Xenopus tropicalis: one gene and its partners. Each later gene encodes a partner of the first gene's protein in a complex. Links are inferred from orthologs where the notes say so. Each region holds a gene or a part of one and is shown on either strand. Other genes may lie near its edges. The genes, in order: calcr, gnb1, ramp1, ramp2 and ramp3.

Region 1 (2,871 bases):
TGAAAGCAGCGTGTCTGTCTGCAAACAGGTAGATTTAAGCATATGTATCTCCAGAGTTCAATGCAGTGATTTCTGACTCATCTCCGTATTTCCCATTTAATTGTTCACTATTGGAATCATGGTGATATAGATAAATGGGGACTTCGGTGATGGACGTTGCGGTATATGATGTAGAACGCATGGAGCAATGTTCTCGCCGTCTTTGGCCCCACTGGGTTTTGTATTGCATCCATTGTCTCTTCAAGGCTCCTTGTACCTGGAAACCAACACACACTGGTTACTTTCAAGAAGAACCAATATCTATGACTTGGTGGTTTTTCACCTTGGCTACAGGATGACAACTAATGGCATTTCTCACAAAGAAGGGGAAACTACTGAATGAACATGGGTATCGGCATCTTGAGGGGATGGTACCTGAATAAAATGCCTCTGGGCCCCAACCATCCAGTTCTAGGAGACAATTTATAGTTTATATTAATTATCTTGTAACTTTGGGGCAAATTTCTTAATAATTCAAGGTGAGAATTATGTTGCTATTCACAAAAAGTCCAAGTACAATTTTTTAGTGATCAAATCAAACTCATAAAAAATAGAAATCTTGCCACCAAAAAACCTGCTGCGATGCTATAGAATCCAACAGGAAGCTGGACCAGGATTTCAACACTTTTACCATCTAGGTTTTTTCTTCACGATTTGAGATTTGTTTTGATGCAATGAAGATTTTAAGTCATTTGGGAATCTTATTAAATATGAAAACCATGGAAAAAAAACATAATTGTGAACCCCCAACCCTGTAAATGAATAAATCTGCCCCTTATTGTTCAAAAACCTTAGAAACAGCAGTAGGAGACTCGAAAGAGAAAGAAACATCTAGGAATGGATTTGTGGTACAACAGATACAGCTCCTAAAAAATGAAGGAGAATCTCTGAATTCATTATCAAACATGGTTTTCACTAAAACATTAAGCCCCCATTAACTCGATTCCCTTAATATTAGCACAATGCTCATCAATTTCCTGCAGCTTAATGAATAGAGTATGACATATTGATCAAAGTAAATTAAAGGCTTTGATAAATGTCAGTTCTTTAACTGCTTTCCTGACTGTCAAGAAAATGGCCGTGACAGCCAGGGAAATGTTACTAACTTGGGGAAAATATTCAACTGCCGGGAATTCCTTCAACAATGACAGGATAACATATTGCAGCATTCCCTATTATACTGGTATAAGTGAGCAAATTCATTTTTAAATAATTACATACATGCAAAAGTCTTAATTTTAAGCAAACACAATGTACTAATGTGCATATTTTACATTTGAAACATAAGCTCATTTTGTTGGGTTATGTGCATGAACACTAGAGAATCATTTTACACAGACAAACCTGCAAACAGAGTGGAAGGGAACCATGACAGATTCACTTTGCTTGCTGGAACCAGTTACCCTCCCCCTTGAACTCATAGTATAATCCACCCTCTCCCTCACCTTGTTTCACTGTAAAGTGATGGATTCTTGTACTTGAATTCCCTCTGCTTTCCATAGTGGGCGGTGCACAGATTCTCTATTAAGCAGAGGGACTTCAAGTCCTAGAATCCATCACTTCACAATAGAAGAAGGTTAGGGAGGAATTTCATTACAGTGATTTCAATTCAACCTGGGATTAGGAACATATGTAAAAATCTATTTCGGAAGTTCAGATAGTGTTTATGCACCTTTTTTACACAAGGCCAAATGAATAAGCTCCAAAAAGGGGGTATATTTTCCCTTTAACAGCCTGTAGCGGAGAATCAATGATCTTTTGATACTGTCTTTCATTTGCAGCAGTTGCATTTAATATAGAGCGAACTGTCAGTGTTTCCCACCCACATACAGCTATAGAGCTTGCAAGAATGCACACAACCAGGACAGCATTCAATGAGAAATAAAAGAAAACAAAATGATTAAGGGAACATTGTGAGTTTACGCTACATATAACTGGCAAAATGAATTCTGTTTCCCCACGTATCTGTGGGTAAATTACATGCAGCTTAAATCTTGGCTTGTTCTTTTGTATGAGATTAAAAACCAGACTGTGTAATACTCGTCATGTTTCCTTCTGCATTAAATATATTCAAATATTTTGTTAAATTATCTTTAATGAAAACCTATACCCCCATAATGAATTCTTAACCAGCAGATAGTTTATATTGTATTAAGTGACCTATTAAAGAATCTCGCCAAACTGGAATATATATATCAGAAAATATTGTATGTATGTATAACTTTATTTATAAAGTGCCACAAGGGTATGCAGCGCTGTACAGTCTTACAGAATACAAAATTACACACAGGGAGGGCAAGTGAAAGAATAAATAAATACAATAAATATATATAAATGCACAGAGAATAAGTGCCATGAGGTATGAGACACAGTAGGATGGAGGTCCCTGCCCCGTAGAGCTTACATCTTTTCCCTTGAGCCACCATTTAGTGATGGCCTATGTGCTCCCTCAGAGATCAGCTGACAGGAAATAATGCAGCTCTAACTGTAACAGGAAGTAGTGTGGGAGCAAAAGACAGAGCTTTACCCATTCATTGGCTGGTGTGTCCTAGCATGTATGTGCGCCCTTGGTTTGTTTGTGAGCATCGTGAATCATATGATCCCTAGGGGTGGCCCTTAGTACTTAAAATGGCAATTTTCTACCTAGTTTATTTAGATGAAGCAGGGTTTTACACATAAGCTGTTTTATGTGATGTATTTTATAGAGACCTAAATTGTTCACGGGTATAGTTTGCCTCTAAAGGAGATAGGCTGCATTTAAATTTAAAAGTTTTGCCAGTAGCACTGTTCTAGCACTGGTAACGATTTCTTGCAGCCTAAGGAAAAATAATT
Region 2 (3,517 bases), on another chromosome or scaffold:
CAGGTTGTATTGTTTAAATATGTAATCCCCTGTGTTGTTCACACCTTTTAATCTCTGCATTGTTCACCCCCTGCAGTGTTCACACCTCAGGCTCAGGCTGTAATCACCCCCATTGTTCCCCTGTTCACACCTCAGGAGCAGTAGAAACCCACAAATAATCCCTGCACACTACAAAAAGAACATATACTGAGGTGGTACTTCAATTAAAAAGTTTTTTTAATATATAGTTATTGTGCAGACTGTAGGAGCAGTGCCAGCATTTTGTCACTGTAGGCTGCCTGTGGGTGCCATACACACAGGCATCATAGGGCAAGCAAAGTATGGTACACACAGGCAGTGTAGGGAAGGCAGAGTATGGCACACACAGGCAGAGTATGGCACACACAGGCCAAGTATGGCACAAACCAGCCAAAAATGGCAAACACAGTGAAAGTATGTCACACGCAGGCAGGGTAGGGAAGGCAGAGTATGGCACACACAGGCAGGGTAGGGCAGGCAGAGTATGGCACACACAGGCCAAGTATGGCACAAACCAGCCAAGAATGGCACACACAGTGAAAGTATGGCACACAGGCAGGGTAGGGAAGGCAGAGTATGGCACACACAGGCAGGGTAGGGAAGGCAGAGTATGGCACACACAGACAGGGTAGGGCAGGCAGAGTATGGCACACACAGGCAGGGTAGTGAAGGCAGAGTATGGCACACACAGGCAGGGTAGGGCAGGCAGAGTATGGCAGGTTTTTGCTGTACTACAACCATTAATATGGGTATGGTCATGTGATAACATGGGTGTGGTTTCAAGTGGGTGCGGTTTCAAAAAGGGGAGTGGTCAAAACTGGCTTCCATTATCGGCCCTCCACCACGTACGTCGGAAAAATTCCGGCCCTCGGTACAACAGAAGTTGGACAGCACTGCCTTAAAGCAATACAAGGGATTTGGATGGTTTCTTAAACAAGCATAATATCAACAGCTATTGTAATACTAAAATCTTCCAACTATTGCCTTAAATTAATACGGTCACAGGAAAATAGGTTTTTTTCAAAACACATCAGAATCACACAACAGAATTTTTCATTGAGACGGCTGCCTACACACCAATATTACAACTGTAAAAAAATACATTTCTTGGCTCAAGAATAACATTTTAAATGATAGAGTGAATTATTTGCTATGTAAATAAAAAACCATATAAATCATGACAGAATCACTTTATTGCCAGCCTGTAGGCTGCAGATACATTAGAGTCAATCTGAAATGTCACCTCAGCCAGTGCGAAAGTAGCAAATGTTATTCATAATGCCAGTGTATGAGCATTAGGAGGCAGCTGTGATGAGTTAATATGGTTAAGCTTTTGCCATTTACCAATGTCTTCAGTGGAACCTACTCATCAACAAAATATTACTAGGTTACACACTTATCAATAAGTTATTATAGTTAAACTTTAGAAGCCTTACCTGTATGCCCAGCCAATTCACGGCTCACCCGCACATTTCCTTCACGAGTTTTGAGGTTGTAAATAGAGCAGATGTTATCAAGACCACCACAGGCAACATAGTTTCCAGAGGGAGCATATGCACAAGTCATTACCCAAGAAGAACGCAGCGGGATGGCATGAACCTAAATGTGAAAAATTATCAAGGAGAGCTCATAAACACATTAAAAGGGAAATACTGATTCTCTGATTACAGGAAAATGATCAGATATAGGAGGGGAAAAAAACGTTATTTCTACCCCATGTTCAACTTTTTAGGCAATTTTCAACCACATTTTTGTTACACTACAACTCCAGTATTCCCAAACGCCAAAGCCTTTCAATGCTTATTGGTAGAGGTATGGGAACAGTTATCCGGAAACCTGTTATCCACAAAACTCCATCTTACTGAAAAGCCTGTCTCCCATAGACTCCATTTTAATTAAATAATTTAGATTTTTAAAATTAATTTTCTTTCTCTGTAATAATAAAACAGTACCTTGTACTTGATCCCAACTAAGATATAATTCATCCTTATTGGATGCAAAACAATTCTATTGGGTTTCATTAATGTTTTACTGTTTTTTTTTTTTTTTTTAGCAGACCTAGGGTATGGAGATCCAAATCACTGAAAGACCTCTTATCTGGAATACCCTTGGTCCCAAGCATTCTGGATACCGGGTCCTATACATGTACCTGTATAGTCTAGGTACAGCCTGAAGCATTTATATACTATCTACAACAAGAGTTAGAATTAGTGACACAATCACTCACAGAGAGAAAATGATTGTTACCAAGAACTGTGCATGAATAATGAAAATTAGCAACATTTATGCACACTCAAATATATATCAGTACTGAAAGGGCAACTAATGGTTTGTTCTTTTAATACAAAAATCATTCAAGTTAATTCCGACTCTTTCCAGCTTGCAAGTGCTTTCTATTTGTAAGGGTCAGCAACTACATGAGCAAGAAAAAAAACTCGTTATTAATTTTCCATTTTTACTAACTGCTATGGCGAGACCCCAGAAACCAGAGATCCTAAAATTTCAAAATAGAAATGTTGAATAATTCTAAGACTTCAAAAATGCAAAAAAATAAAACAACTACACGTTACTACAATCAAGTGAACTAACTTTCTTCTCTCCTGATAGTTAAAGTAACCCACAATGCGGATTACATCTCAACAATAATTATCTGAATTATACAGACTGTATAAATATTTAAAACAAGCCCACAAAGGATAAAGGCTAATGTGAAACCTACTGCTGGTTTACTCTAAATCTCAGTTTCTTTCCTGCACCAGTGAACTGTTAATTCAAAGGCTATGATGCTTCAAAGCTGATTGAAACCAGGCTGCCTAAAATCCAGCCAGAAGGCTGCACATAGTTGCACAGGATATCATAAAGTGTCTGAACACTGCACACCAACAAAGTGACAACTATAAGTTAGCTATGATTTTAAGAGGCATTTTTCTAAAAATATATTTAACTCTCTCCAAATAAGCAACTACAGGTTAAGCTAATCTAATTATTAAATACAACTACTGGTATGGGATCAGTTATCCAGAAAGCACTGATCACAGGAAGCCTGCCTCCCACAGACTCAAAATTTAATCAAATAATTCAGATTTTTAAATTGATTCCCCTTTTCTCTGCAATAATAAAGCAGTACCTTGTATATGATCCCAATAAAGATGCAAATTCTTATCGGAAGTAAAACAATCCTATTGGGTTTAGTTAATTGTTTAAATTATGTTAGGCACCCCCAAGTGACTTAAATCGCTTACCTTTTACACCAGGCTGGTGCCCCTGTTGGGAGAGATCAGTACCAGCCAGGGTAGCTGCAGCTCTTCATCCTTCCGTCATCGCGCGCATGCGCAGTAGAGTGAAAAGCCGAACTTTAACAGAGAAGTCGGATTTTCACTCTACTGCGCATGCGCCCGTCGTAAGTCCTTCCAAAAGCAAAGGCGGAAGGAGGAAGAGCTGCGCTACAGGTACCCCGGGCTGGTGCTGTTTTCTCCTAACAGGGGCACCAGCCCGGGGT
Region 3 (3,517 bases), on another chromosome or scaffold:
ATGTGTTGATTTTGCTGGAGCTGAAATAACATAAATGATTGATCATATGGGGGTATGTTCACATTGGGGCCTCTACATGCCACATACTTAGGTAAACCTATACATATTGGGCATCAAACTGTTCAGTGGATCCCTGGTGTTCATATTTAGGGTGTTTTATTTGGTTACTTTATGACCTGTAGGAGATAAGATACTATAGACTGGAAGCTTTGAAGCAATTTTTTAAAAAAATCACAAATTTTGATAAAAACCAATTAATTTAGGAAAGCATTGCGACTTGATAGTTTGGAGTAGACAGACAGATGTGCCTATTCTGTATTCCCCAGAATCTGTTCTTTCCAAAAATGTACAATTTTCTGGGATAAACCTTCTGTTAGTGGAAATTTTGTCCTTGAAATCTTAAGTATGCAGCTTTCTGGAGCAGTGCTTTGGAAATTTGGTAGTGTACTGCTGGGAGTTTTTGACCTATACAAGTGACAAATCTCCATAAAACTATATGTATTTGGTATTGGCACGTTCAGGAGACATGGAATTTTCCAAATCAGTTGTATATTCATGCATAAAATAATTTTTGTTTCTAGTATGTGTGTTTATATTATGGAAAATTAGATTTTTTTTGCATTTTTAGACATTTAGAAGCCTATATCTTGTTACAGAATTGGAATTACACAAAAATTCTACCATATTTTGAAAGCTTAGGTTGTTCTGAAAAAAACGATATATTGTTTTCCTGGGTAAACTAAAAGTCCCCCCGAGGAAAGGCCCCTAAAGTGAAACAGTGCAAAATGTTCAAAAACTGTCTGGCAATACAAGTTCCGCTTTGACCAAAACAGCTGGCAGTAAAAGGGTTAAAGGAATACTGTCATTGGAAAACATGTTTTTTTCAAAATGCATGCAGAATCCTGCATTGAAATCCATTTTTCAAAAACACAAACAAATTTTTATTTTTAATTTAGCAATTTCCTATGGGGCTGGCAATATTCTTCATTTCCCAGGCTGCCACAGCCATGTGACTTGTGCTCTGATAAATTTAATACAAACTTACAAACTTCTGATGTAAACAGTGTAATTTAGAAATAAAAAGTACACCATAAAAATCATGACAGAATCCCATTACGTTTTGGCTAGAGTCAGCAATTCAATAAACTGAAGACTGAAAATAAATATATATAGAGAACTTTTCATTTAAAATGTACTTTGTTATTCCAGAGTGAAATTGTGTATATGTAGCTGCTTTCTGCCCTTCTAACATACTAAAACTCTTTCTGTCATTAACATTAGAGAGGGTTTGTATTTAAAAAGATCCCCCAGCGTGCTGTATGTGAGCTGTCATTCTGCTACTGAACTTTTATTAGCTTTTAAAAGACACAAGGTCCTATATTAGTGTCTCTCCCATGAGCCATAGCTTTATTTAGTGTCTAAAATTAGAGTGTTTGCCAATGTAGAATGCTTCCTCTGCTCACCCTACAAGCCCATATAACTATCTCTCCTTCCAACACTTCAGATGTAATACATTTATACTATACAGTATATGTATTATATATATTACAAAAAGGTTGCCCTTGTTACAAATTCATGATATTAATAGTGTAAAACCTAAATTTCAAAAGTGCTCAGAAAGTCATTCTGAGCAGCTTTATATTAGGTTGGGGGGTAGAGCTCCCTTTTATTGTTGCTACCAGTTTAAAGAAAACTTCTTTCCTATTTCTTTTTAATATAGTACCTATGACAGTCATTTATTTGGCCTGTGGGGGGCTGTTTGGGCCTTTGTACTTTTGTACTTGAAATCCTACTCTGGCCCTGGATATAAAGGATGGGTAACCCTATGATCAGGTAAATGAAGTAGCACAAGGGATAGTATTACTACATAGTGTTGTGGGCTTCTATTTCATTGTGATGCCAGAATAGTGTAGATTCTGTCCCTATGTTCTTTCCACTCATTCTTGCAGGGGCACCAGGTCTTCCCACATTCCAAAACCTTCAGGCAGGGTGTGTGAGCAGGGAAATCGCATTGTAAGCTTCACTAAAGTAGGACACTGTCAGGAATAATTAAAGGCATTAAAAAAAAACTCTACTGTTATACTTCCCAGCTCTCCACAATACTAGTGTCTACTAGTGACAGAATGCAGAAACCCTTTCCACTGTTTTTCTCTTTGTGACATCCTGCAGCCTAGTTACAGGCTGGAGCCCCAGTGCACCTCTGGGAAAAGAGAAGGACCCAGGGAGAGCATTGCTTTGGAGCTGAAACCATGGGGTGGGCATTTTCACCGTTTCGCAAAGCACAAGGGGACAGATTTGCTCATCACTAGCTGCCAGTAAGAATAGAGGCTGCGGCGTGCTCGGCTTGGGACAAGCCTTGAGCTCCAGCCACATACAGAGAGTATTCTGCGTCCATGCTCAGCTGTTTGCGGATGCCTGTTGCCTGATACGTGGGAGCACATGCATTATCCAAAGGGAGAGGTACTTTGGGGGAGGTACTTTAGAGAAATTCCCCTGGGGTGTACTCCTCAGTGCCCACTTGGTTGAGGCATTGCACTGTAAATCCCAATTCACAGTGTTTTTTCAATAAGCAAAGAGGTTTCGGGGTCTACTGGATTGTCATAGATAACAGCCAAGCAAAGTGAGGGTGATCCAGCTCTACAGAAGTGTGGTAAGAAAAGGGTTACACTTTCTTTACCCGTGACAAGCCCCATTGTATTTTTAGCTCCTTCCATTGAGTGAAGATGCCCACACAATTCTAGACACACAATTTTAAAGGCATAGAGATACTTTCCAAATAAATCATAAACCCTAGTGCTGCTATTCTTTTGTAATGTATGTGCCCCCTGCCTCCCACAGGTAACCCCTTACTAACCTGTAGTGGGCTCTAGCACATCTTGAAGCTGAACAGCTTTGTGAGTAATGGGGCATTTGGGGGCAGGTTTATGTTTTGATAGGCTGGAGGGCAAATGTATACAGAGCCCCAGCCTGTGAGATTTGTTACTAACCTGTGCTAAAGACTGACATAGGTTAGTAGAAAGTGGACAGACGGGCAGGGGGGAGACGGGGGGTACATACATTAGAATAGCAGCGCTAGGGTTTGTGTAGGCATAGTGACATGTCCATGTTACTATCAATTTAAATGCAAACTGATGAAATACCATATTTTAACTCATTTTGGAATGCTAGCTTTTGGCCCAATTTAAGCCATTTGATTTTTAAGGTAAATATTATTACTTTATTATCTGTGGACTGTTTTTGAATCTTTTTGTGCAAGTCTGATATTTAGTTGAGCAGAAACGTCAAGCAGAATTTAGCCAAGCAGAAATGATTTACACATGTAGTGGTTTATTTATTGTGACTTTTTGGCAAGCAGTGTTCAAACTTTGCTACTCACCCCGCTGTCTCTCCCCAGTCACACCACAGCTTCTTTCCCAGCTCTTCCATTTCTATCTCGAAATGCTGCAAACAGAATTCGTTCATAACATGGCTGTACAGCGCCTCATTACAGCATTCGACCGCCATTAAGGGAGACGCT
Region 4 (3,517 bases), on another chromosome or scaffold:
CCTGTGTCCCATCATAATGTAGTTATTGGCTATATTATTTGGGAATGCAAGATTCAAAATTTCAGCCAAGTCCTCTAGGCATATTCTTAAATTACTGTAATGTCTAGGATAGAAAAAAAAAAAACTAGTTATACAGTGTGTGCACACAGTAGTGGAGTATCATCTAATGATGAACCCAGATATATACAGTATGCTACTACAGCACAAATTAGTTCAACAAAGCAGAGAGTCACAAGTTTCACAATCAATGAAACAGTCAACTCTTGGCATTGATCATATTGTCACTATGGTACAATTGTCTGCTAGAAAGAGAACCCAGATTACAATAACATCCTTGATTATGGCCCATTATTACCTAAATGAAAAGCCGCAAAGTAACTGCTGCTCAGTCAGACTTTAAGATAGGCAAAACATAAAAATATTTGGTTTCAGCGGTTTATGCTTTTGCCAAGACTATTTTCTATACATAAACAAGAAATTAAGGCTAGGGGAATGGATTAATGGAAGGGTGTGGGGGGGTCCAGGGATTAAAGCAGCAATATTTGTACATATCAAGGATACAGTAATCCTTATTTTGTTGAAATGTGTTGTTGTATCATATACAATAGTAGCTTTCATTGAGAGAATTATATAAATAAGGCATTTTATACACCAGTTCTTAGTGTTATTGCAGTTGTCTAAATTTGACTGTATTGTTCAAAAACAATTGCATCTAAAAACAACCCATTAAGGCCCCCCTCCTGGGATTGTACAATTCACAGTGTACACAAACAAACCAAGGCCCACATACAACAAGAGCTGCATAACTTCATATCAGGTGATCTCTGAGGGAGCACACAGACTATCACAAAATGGCCGCTCAAGGTAAAAGATGCACAAGGGCATTATTTACTAATATATTCCAGTTTGGTAAGATTCTTTATAGGCCACTAAATATGATATAAACTATGTGCTGGTTAAGTATTCATTCTGAGGGTACAGTTCTCCTTTAAGACAGGGAAGGCCATACCCTCCTGTATTCTAATTCATAAAGAGCATTGTTCCAGATTCTATATTTATTTTATTCTAGACAACATGGGTAATAGGCTGAAAAATGTATAAAGGTGTTATAGTATGCTAGGGTCTTCTTAATTGCACTTTTATTCTAGCCAAAAAAAATTGTATGTTTTAGGTCCATGTCTTGAGGTTTGAAAAAACACTGACACCGTATAATTTAATGTTGAGAGTCATTAATAATATCATGAGTCCAGGGCCGTATTTATAATAAGGCACCTCAGGTGCCTATAAGTTTTTATAAAAAAATGCGCCCAGCCTCCGCCATGGATTGCCATAGGAAATCCAGCAACGGAGCTGTGGGGTCAGGTTGCTCTGCGGAAGTGTGCACGATGTGCGTGATGTCACTTCTGAGACATAGGCGCGCAACCCGACCCCCCAACCTTCCAGCTCCATCGCTGAGCGTGATATCACACGCGCACACACGATGAGCATGATGTCACATGCATGACGTAATGCAGTAAAATAAATTAGCACTAATTTCATATATTGGTGTTCTGAGCCTGACAAGTATATATACTGTATATCAGGGGTCCCCAACCTTACCTTACCATCTTACTCGTGAGTCACAGTGAAATGTAAAAAGACTTGGAGAGCAACACAAGCATCACAAATTAATAGAAGTGCCAAATAAGGGCTAAGATTGGCGATTAGGTAGCCTCTATGCACCCTATCAGCTTACAGGAGGCTTTATTTGGTAGTAAGTATTGTTTTTACTCAACCAAAACTTGCCTCCAAGTCAGGAATTCAAAAATAATTACCTGGTTTGGGGGCAAGGGATTGGTGAGCAATATGTTGCTCACGAGCCACTGGTTGGGGATCACTGCTGTGTATATATATCTCAACAAAACACAAACCCTTTTGATATTTTTACAATGTCTACCTGTTGATATGATGCCATTCACACCAATTATCCGAGTTTACTGTGGACATATTCCTGGTGTAACCAAGCCAACATGACTCTGCAAAATAAAGATGCATTGACTCTGCAGGAAAGAAAATTATAAATAGAAACTTTATTGTTATTATTACTATTATTAGCACATATTTATAAAACATATAGAATTATAAAATACTCTGCAACTGATACAAAAGAGAGCTTACACTTAAGAGTTATAATAATAATCTATGGAATTACACACCTATATACATTCTATAGTATTTTTCAAATAATTGCATAATAATGTCCTTTTTAAGAAAAATCACCAGGTTATAGATACATTAAGCACTGTGCTACCGTTCAGTGGACACCCAATGATAAATTCATCACAAATCTTACCCTTGCCTGGCCTTTAAGCTTGCCCACCCCTTAAACTTGCCCACCCCCTTTAACTTTCCTATATTCATTTAATATGAAACTTCAAAGTGGTTTTGTGTCATAAACCGTAATTCAGAGAATGCAAATATCAGACAGCTATCCCTTGCAACAGCAATGTATACTAGAATGTTGCACAGAATTACAAACAGCTACTGAAATTCTAAACTAGAGAGTTGATAAATAAAAAGCTAAATAATTCAAAATCTCTAAAAAAAAATTGCATAGACCAATTGCATATTGACTAAAAAGTTATATATCATACTAAAAGTTAGTTTAATGCTGAACTACCCCTTTAAAAGTGATCAATGCAAATTACTTTTGTACTCAACAAACACTATATAAGTATGTAGTTAGAACTTCAATGAGATATCACATCAAAATCAAAACTTACGTATGTCCTTAAAAATGTGCTTGGTCTCATTATGAGCAGAATCTGTGAGGTTTTGCTGGACTGCCACTGAACTGGCAACTGTGGAAACAAACTGGCATTAGGAAAAAAAGTGCTTTAAGGAGCTTTAATTTTATTGACTTCTGAATACACTGGGTGGCTGAAGGTCAGGGGCAAACTGACCCTTAAATTAGTCAGCAAATTTTGTTCATTATTCAAGTCAGGAGTTTGAAGGGAGGAACCAGGAGCAGCGGTTTGTGTGGAGATGTAGTCAAGTCAGACTATTTGAGTAGCTGGCCAGCCAATCCAAGGTATATAAATGGAGTTTTCTATAAGGCTGTACCAGAGATAGATACTCCATTTATGAAACCCAGTTCTGCAAGACAAGTGCAAAGTGGTCAGGGACCAGGGGTCATGGGAAAACATGTTTTTTTCAAAATGTGTAAGTAAAAAGAGCTTTTCCAGCAGAATTCTGCATTGAAATCCATTTTTCACAAACACAGATTTTTTATATTTTATTTTGAAATTTCACATGTGGCTAGCCATATTCTTCTTTCCCAGGGTGTTACAGTCCTGTGGCCTGTGCTCTGATAAACTTCAGTCACACTTTACTGCTGAGCTGCAAGTTGGAGTGATATCGAAATGAGCAGCCGATCAGCAGAACAACGGGAAGGTAGCAAGATAGCGGCTCCCAGTTTATATCAGAATAGCACTCAATAATAAGAAATCCAAGTTCGGCTTGGGACTCTTCCAGTTAC
Region 5 (3,991 bases), about 27 Mb from region 1:
TTCTACAGCAACCCCTAACACATTAAATATGTTTGCTCAGCCTCATTTATATTTGTTAAACGAATACTTATTGCATTAAGGCACAACAACCAGCTCTCACAAGGGACATGGGTGCAGGCACATTTTTCTCTTCAATGTATTGCTCTATCTTATGCAATCAGCAAATATGATTCGATCAGCATAATCGCAGCAGTCTTCTCAAGACTTTGTGCTCCTGGGAATGAGCAAGTAGACCTACAGCATAAAGTAGGAACAGATACCTGTTCATCAGCCTGGAAGGGTGAAATGTTATAACTATGTACAATGTCCTATTTAACAGTTTATGCAGAGTGTAATCTGAAAATCTATATTTAAAATGCACACCCATTCCTATCAGTGTATTAAACAAACCCACAAGACACATGACTGAAATAAAATAACGGCTACAGATAAAATTGTAAGATGATAAGTGAAAGTAGAGACTTATAAAAGCATAACTGTGCAAAAAGTACTTATTAATCATGTAATCTGTCTACTTTGTAAGAGCAAATCATTAATTTTTCTATAGCAAAATATGTTATCCACATGGAATTAGGTATTTTGACTACTCAAATACAGATGTAAACTTAAATACTGGTTGCATTTGTTGGACTGTGTTGGTTATCCTGGCAATGATAAGTAGATATCCTTGTTATGATAGAAGAGGCAGTAATCAACCTGCTTTTAACCATAGGAGGGAAGTAAAATGACTTTTATAGCTCAGTCTTTAACAATACAGGTATGGGATCTATTATACAGAAAACTTGGGAGCTGAAGTTTTCTGGATAAGCAACCCTTCCATAATTTGGATCACCATACCATAGGTCTACTAAAAATCATTTAAACATTAAATAAACCTAATAGGATTGTGTTGCCGCCAATATGGATATATATAGCTTAGTTACATTCAAGTATAAGGTGCTGTTTTATTATTTTAAAGGAAAAGGAAATCATTTTTAAAATGGAAAATAATTTGCTTAAAGTAGACTCTGTGGAAGATTGCCTTCTGGTAAGTCGGAACTTTCTGGATAAGAGATCCATACCTATATATTTTGATCCATGATAAAAACCAGTACTAAAGTTTTTTTTCTGGAGTCTCTAAACACAAGGGAAGAGATTAAATGATTACTGGTCATTTACGATAACTGAGGAGAGACCAGAGACAATTTCATAAAGTCTCCATTATTATTTTCCTTTATTTATAAAGTACTAAAATATTCTGCAGATCTTTACAGAAAAACCCTGTCCAAGTGAAACTTACAATCTAATGCCCCTATAATATTCACACACAATATGAGCATTTTTATCAAGGGACGATTTTTGTGGGTGGAAACCTATACAAACACAAGAACATAAAAACTTCCAGCCTTGGCTGGATTCAAACCTAGGGCCCTGGTGCCAATCACTGTTCCATTCTGCAACCCCACTAAAACAACAGACCACAGCTATATTGTGTTGCCATATAGCGAAGCTATTGTTTTAACCACCATTGTGCAACTTCCATGCATTTCTTTTTAACATTTGATTCCATTACTTTTCTTCAAGATGTTTGCACCTTGTTTCCCCCAGCTTGCAAATCTTGACATCCTTATTTATTTATTTATTTTAGGCATTTAGTTAGCTACTGAGCTAGACTGTAAGCTCTACGGGGCAGGGACCTCCTTCCTACTGTGTCTCATACCGCATGGCACTTATATATATATATATATATATACATATATGTATTTATTTATTATATCACTTGTCCTCCCTGTGTGTAATTTTGTATTCTGTAAGACTGTACAGCGCTGCGTACCCTTGTTGCTCTTTATAAATAAAGTTATACATACATACATACATACATACATGAATCCCTATTTGCTGTTATATGAGTATTAGTTCTGCCATAGCACCTCAAGTGTACATTGCTGTGAGTGTGGCTCCTTGATTTGTGGCAGGTATAACAGATAGATCCTGGCTAATACAATTACAGTACTTTCTTATAAGAAAACTCAAGTTCACAGACTGCACCCTGTGCTTGGCCAAGGCATAGTTTCACACTGAACAAGAAATGCCAGATGGATGCTAGCGAAAGGGGCAGAGGCAGTGACAGTGATCAAAAAATGAATGGTCAGATAGGGACAGACCGATTGGTATAGAAAATAGAAAGAAAAAACGAAAGATAGAGAGCTTGATAGATTATATATCTATAGATGGGAGGTAGGAGATAGATACATCTGTTTCCCTGGATGCCAAATGAACTGGGATCCATGTTTTTAAACAATAGCTTATTGCCATGAAGGAAATCCCATTTATCACCCAGCGGTTGTGTTCTTTGAAAGGAACAAAAGAGCCAGCAGTTGTTGTATGAGTGCCCACCAATGTCATACCCAGAGGGAGTGATGCCCCCATTCCCCCAGGCACACACAATGGGGCCACTTACCACAAACCAGAGACAGGAAAAGTTGCAGCAGAGCCAAGATGTGTTTATCCATCCCGATCCAAGGTAAGAGGCGCCGGGCGGGCAAAGGAAAGCATCTGAGGAGGAGGTTTCAGTAAAGCAGAGGAGACTTCATTGAGGAGATCGGCGGTGACAGTCACATAAACTTCTCTCTCCGTAATAACAGCAACAGCAGCAGTAGCGACACAAGACGAGAAAAGGCAGCCGCGGGCAATGGTCGTGTGTGTGACCGAGCTCCTATCAAACTCCACTCGAGATCCCCGTTACAATGAGCGGATTGTCATAATGACAGCGATACTCGCAATCCCTCAGCACGGAATGTGCGGACAATAAGAAGGCTGAGAATACTGCCGCTATGGGATTATTGGGATCCCCTGATAGCCGAATGTGTCCAGCCAGAAGGATGACAATGTGTGTAGTTTGCAGTGTGGTGCCAAAGTCTGGATCCTGTCACACTGTGCATCTGGGCAGCCTGGAGGGCGGGGCTTGCTGTGCATTGGGCGCTGCAGGGTCCTAGTACGGCGGGGAGCGCTGGCTGTGCAGCTGCAAATGCCTCTACATTGGGTTATTGCCACTGCTTGTCCGTAGGGCAGATAGAGTGCTTGGCTTGATGTTGCAGGCCCCGCAGAGCAGCACTTGGAGAAGGAAAGAAAAAGCTCCAAAGTATAGGGTAGCACCTGTAGGGAATGATTATACTAAGGTAAAATGGTGTCAAAACTGTTATCTCAGAGGTTTTCTGAGCCTCTGGCAGCTAGAGAGCAATAACAGGTTGGAATCTGGATAAGGGGGTGTTGTATATCAGAAGCTACTTTGTCTTTCCCACAGGACCACCCATCACTGGTTATTGCACACAGGGGCATGTTTATAAGGCAGTGAAGAGAATTAGCATTTCCATCCCCACTTTTTGCACTGCCATTCTCTGTTGCCATCAGGAACAGAAGCCACTGGTGAAACCAGAAGTAATAAATGCCCTGGCATAAAGGAACCTAAACCTGAAACCCACATTTTAACCTTTTTTATAGATAATATAAGAAATATATATGTCTCATCCAAAAGTCATACCTGCAACCTGCAGGGTACCAGATTTTTTGGCAGGTAACCTGCTGCTACCTGACCCGCTGCAAAACTCTAGCCTGGGCTACTAAGGAAAGCAGTGGTGGTGCACATTTTTTCTCAATAGTAATTTACATTAATGACAGTGGGAAGGAAACATGAGATGTTTTGTCACCCATGCTAGAAAAAAAAAAAAAAAGAAATGCCCTGGGTGCCAGAGCTCTTAAATAAGTATGTAAGTGAAACTTGCTCAGAAGCTAGCCTTGTCTGTTCAATTGCATGAGTTTATGAGGGTGTAACTAGACAGAAAGTGAAGCTTATAACTGCTTGGGAGCCCAAAGGGCACTGACTAATAAGCAGGTTCAGTATTATTTAAACGTCAAATTCTCATAGTTTGGGGAGAGGGGCTAAAATGATTTTGCTGTGGGGCCTAACAACTTTTGATTATGCAACAACTTATTCTTGCATACAAGTCTACTG

The links.
Region 2: the proteins of calcr (region 1) and gnb1 are in contact, whole or in part, in a cryo-EM structure (PDB 8F0K), measured with the Homo sapiens proteins. The link is inferred for Xenopus tropicalis from reciprocal best matches to the Homo sapiens genes CALCR and GNB1. Residues at the interface, in NP_001158210.1 of Homo sapiens: Arg174, Ser175, Arg404, Gln408; in NP_001269468.1 of Homo sapiens: Thr47, Arg52, Phe292, Ala309, Gly310, His311, Asp312, Trp339.
Region 3: the proteins of calcr (region 1) and ramp1 are in contact, whole or in part, in a cryo-EM structure (PDB 9AUC), measured with the Homo sapiens proteins. The link is inferred for Xenopus tropicalis from reciprocal best matches to the Homo sapiens genes CALCR and RAMP1. Residues at the interface, in NP_001158210.1 of Homo sapiens: Arg45, Lys46, Met49, Asp50, Gln52, Tyr53, Tyr56, Asp57, Met59, Gln60, Gln61, Thr75, Trp76, Asp77, Gly78, Asn124, Arg126, Phe235, Leu238, Ile242, Thr246, Val250, Ala251, Gln257, Arg258, Trp261, Tyr262, Leu265, Phe269, Ile276; in NP_005846.1 of Homo sapiens: Trp59, Ile63, Tyr66, Arg67, Ala70, Asp71, Phe83, Trp84, Pro85, Val89, Asp90, Phe93, Leu94, His97, Gly98, Phe101, Ser103, Arg109, Ala110, Val111, Arg112, Asp113, Pro114, Ile118, Leu119, Phe122, Ile123, Pro126, Ile127, Val129.
Region 4: the proteins of calcr (region 1) and ramp2 are in contact, whole or in part, in a cryo-EM structure (PDB 7TYX), measured with the Homo sapiens proteins. The link is inferred for Xenopus tropicalis from reciprocal best matches to the Homo sapiens genes CALCR and RAMP2. Residues at the interface, in NP_001158210.1 of Homo sapiens: Arg45, Lys46, Met48, Met49, Asp50, Gln52, Tyr53, Lys54, Tyr56, Asp57, Met59, Gln60, Trp76, Gly78, Arg126, Phe235, Leu238, Ile242, Thr246, Val250, Glu255, Lys256, Gln257, Arg258, Trp261, Tyr262, Leu264, Leu265, Phe269, Pro273; in NP_005845.2 of Homo sapiens: Trp86, Tyr93, Ser94, Arg97, Asp98, Glu101, Leu109, Pro112, Glu117, Ile120, Phe121, His124, Phe128, Cys131, Pro136, Phe138, Ser139, Asp140, Pro141, Leu146, Met149, Ile150, Pro153, Ile154, Leu156, Ile157, Leu160, Ile161, Leu163, Val164.
Region 5: the proteins of calcr (region 1) and ramp3 are in contact, whole or in part, in a cryo-EM structure (PDB 8F0K), measured with the Homo sapiens proteins. The link is inferred for Xenopus tropicalis from reciprocal best matches to the Homo sapiens genes CALCR and RAMP3. Residues at the interface, in NP_001158210.1 of Homo sapiens: Arg45, Lys46, Met49, Asp50, Gln52, Tyr53, Lys54, Tyr56, Asp57, Met59, Gln60, Arg74, Thr75, Trp76, Asp77, Gly78, Asn124, Arg126, Phe235, Leu238, Ile242, Thr246, Gln257, Arg258, Trp261, Tyr262, Leu264, Leu265, Phe269, Ile276; in NP_005847.1 of Homo sapiens: Cys57, Leu59, Ile63, Tyr66, Glu67, Thr70, Tyr83, Trp84, Pro85, Gln90, Ile93, Thr94, His97, Arg98, Phe101, Ser102, Cys104, Val106, His110, Leu111, Glu112, Asp113, Pro114, Val118, Leu119, Leu122, Ile123, Pro126, Val127, Leu129.

What each region holds. Positions count from the first base shown.
Region 1 is NC_030682.2:32,306,644-32,309,514, forward strand, and holds part of calcr (calcitonin receptor), read right to left. Parts: intron 257-2,871; coding exon 35-256; 3' UTR 1-34. UniProt on the Homo sapiens protein: G protein-coupled receptor activated by ligand peptides amylin (IAPP), calcitonin (CT/CALCA) and calcitonin gene-related peptide type 1 (CGRP1/CALCA).
Region 2 is NC_030683.2:91,940,294-91,943,810, reverse strand, and holds part of gnb1 (guanine nucleotide-binding protein G(I)/G(S)/G(T) subunit beta-1), read right to left. Parts: intron 1,618-3,517; coding exon 1,455-1,617; intron 1-1,454. UniProt on the Homo sapiens protein: Guanine nucleotide-binding proteins (G proteins) are involved as a modulator or transducer in various transmembrane signaling systems.
Region 3 is NC_030685.2:59,159,638-59,163,154, forward strand, and holds part of ramp1 (receptor activity-modifying protein 1 precursor), read right to left. Parts: intron 3,516-3,517; coding exon 3,377-3,515; intron 1-3,376. UniProt on the Homo sapiens protein: Accessory protein that interacts with and modulates the function of G-protein coupled receptors including calcitonin gene-related peptide type 1 receptor (CALCRL) and calcitonin receptor (CALCR). Required for the transport of CALCRL to the plasma membrane.
Region 4 is NC_030686.2:22,072,052-22,075,568, forward strand, and holds part of ramp2 (receptor activity-modifying protein 2), read right to left. Parts: intron 2,841-3,517; coding exon 2,763-2,840; intron 2,040-2,762; coding exon 1,937-2,039; intron 104-1,936; coding exon 1-103. UniProt on the Homo sapiens protein: Accessory protein that interacts with and modulates the function of G-protein coupled receptors including calcitonin gene-related peptide type 1 receptor (CALCRL) and calcitonin receptor (CALCR). Required for the transport of CALCRL to the plasma membrane.
Region 5 is NC_030682.2:59,345,802-59,349,792, forward strand, and holds the start of ramp3 (receptor activity-modifying protein 3 precursor), read right to left. Parts: upstream 2,801-3,991; 5' UTR 2,493-2,800; coding exon 2,441-2,492; intron 1-2,440. UniProt on the Homo sapiens protein: Accessory protein that interacts with and modulates the function of G-protein coupled receptors including calcitonin gene-related peptide type 1 receptor (CALCRL), calcitonin receptor (CALCR) and G-protein coupled estrogen receptor 1 (GPER1).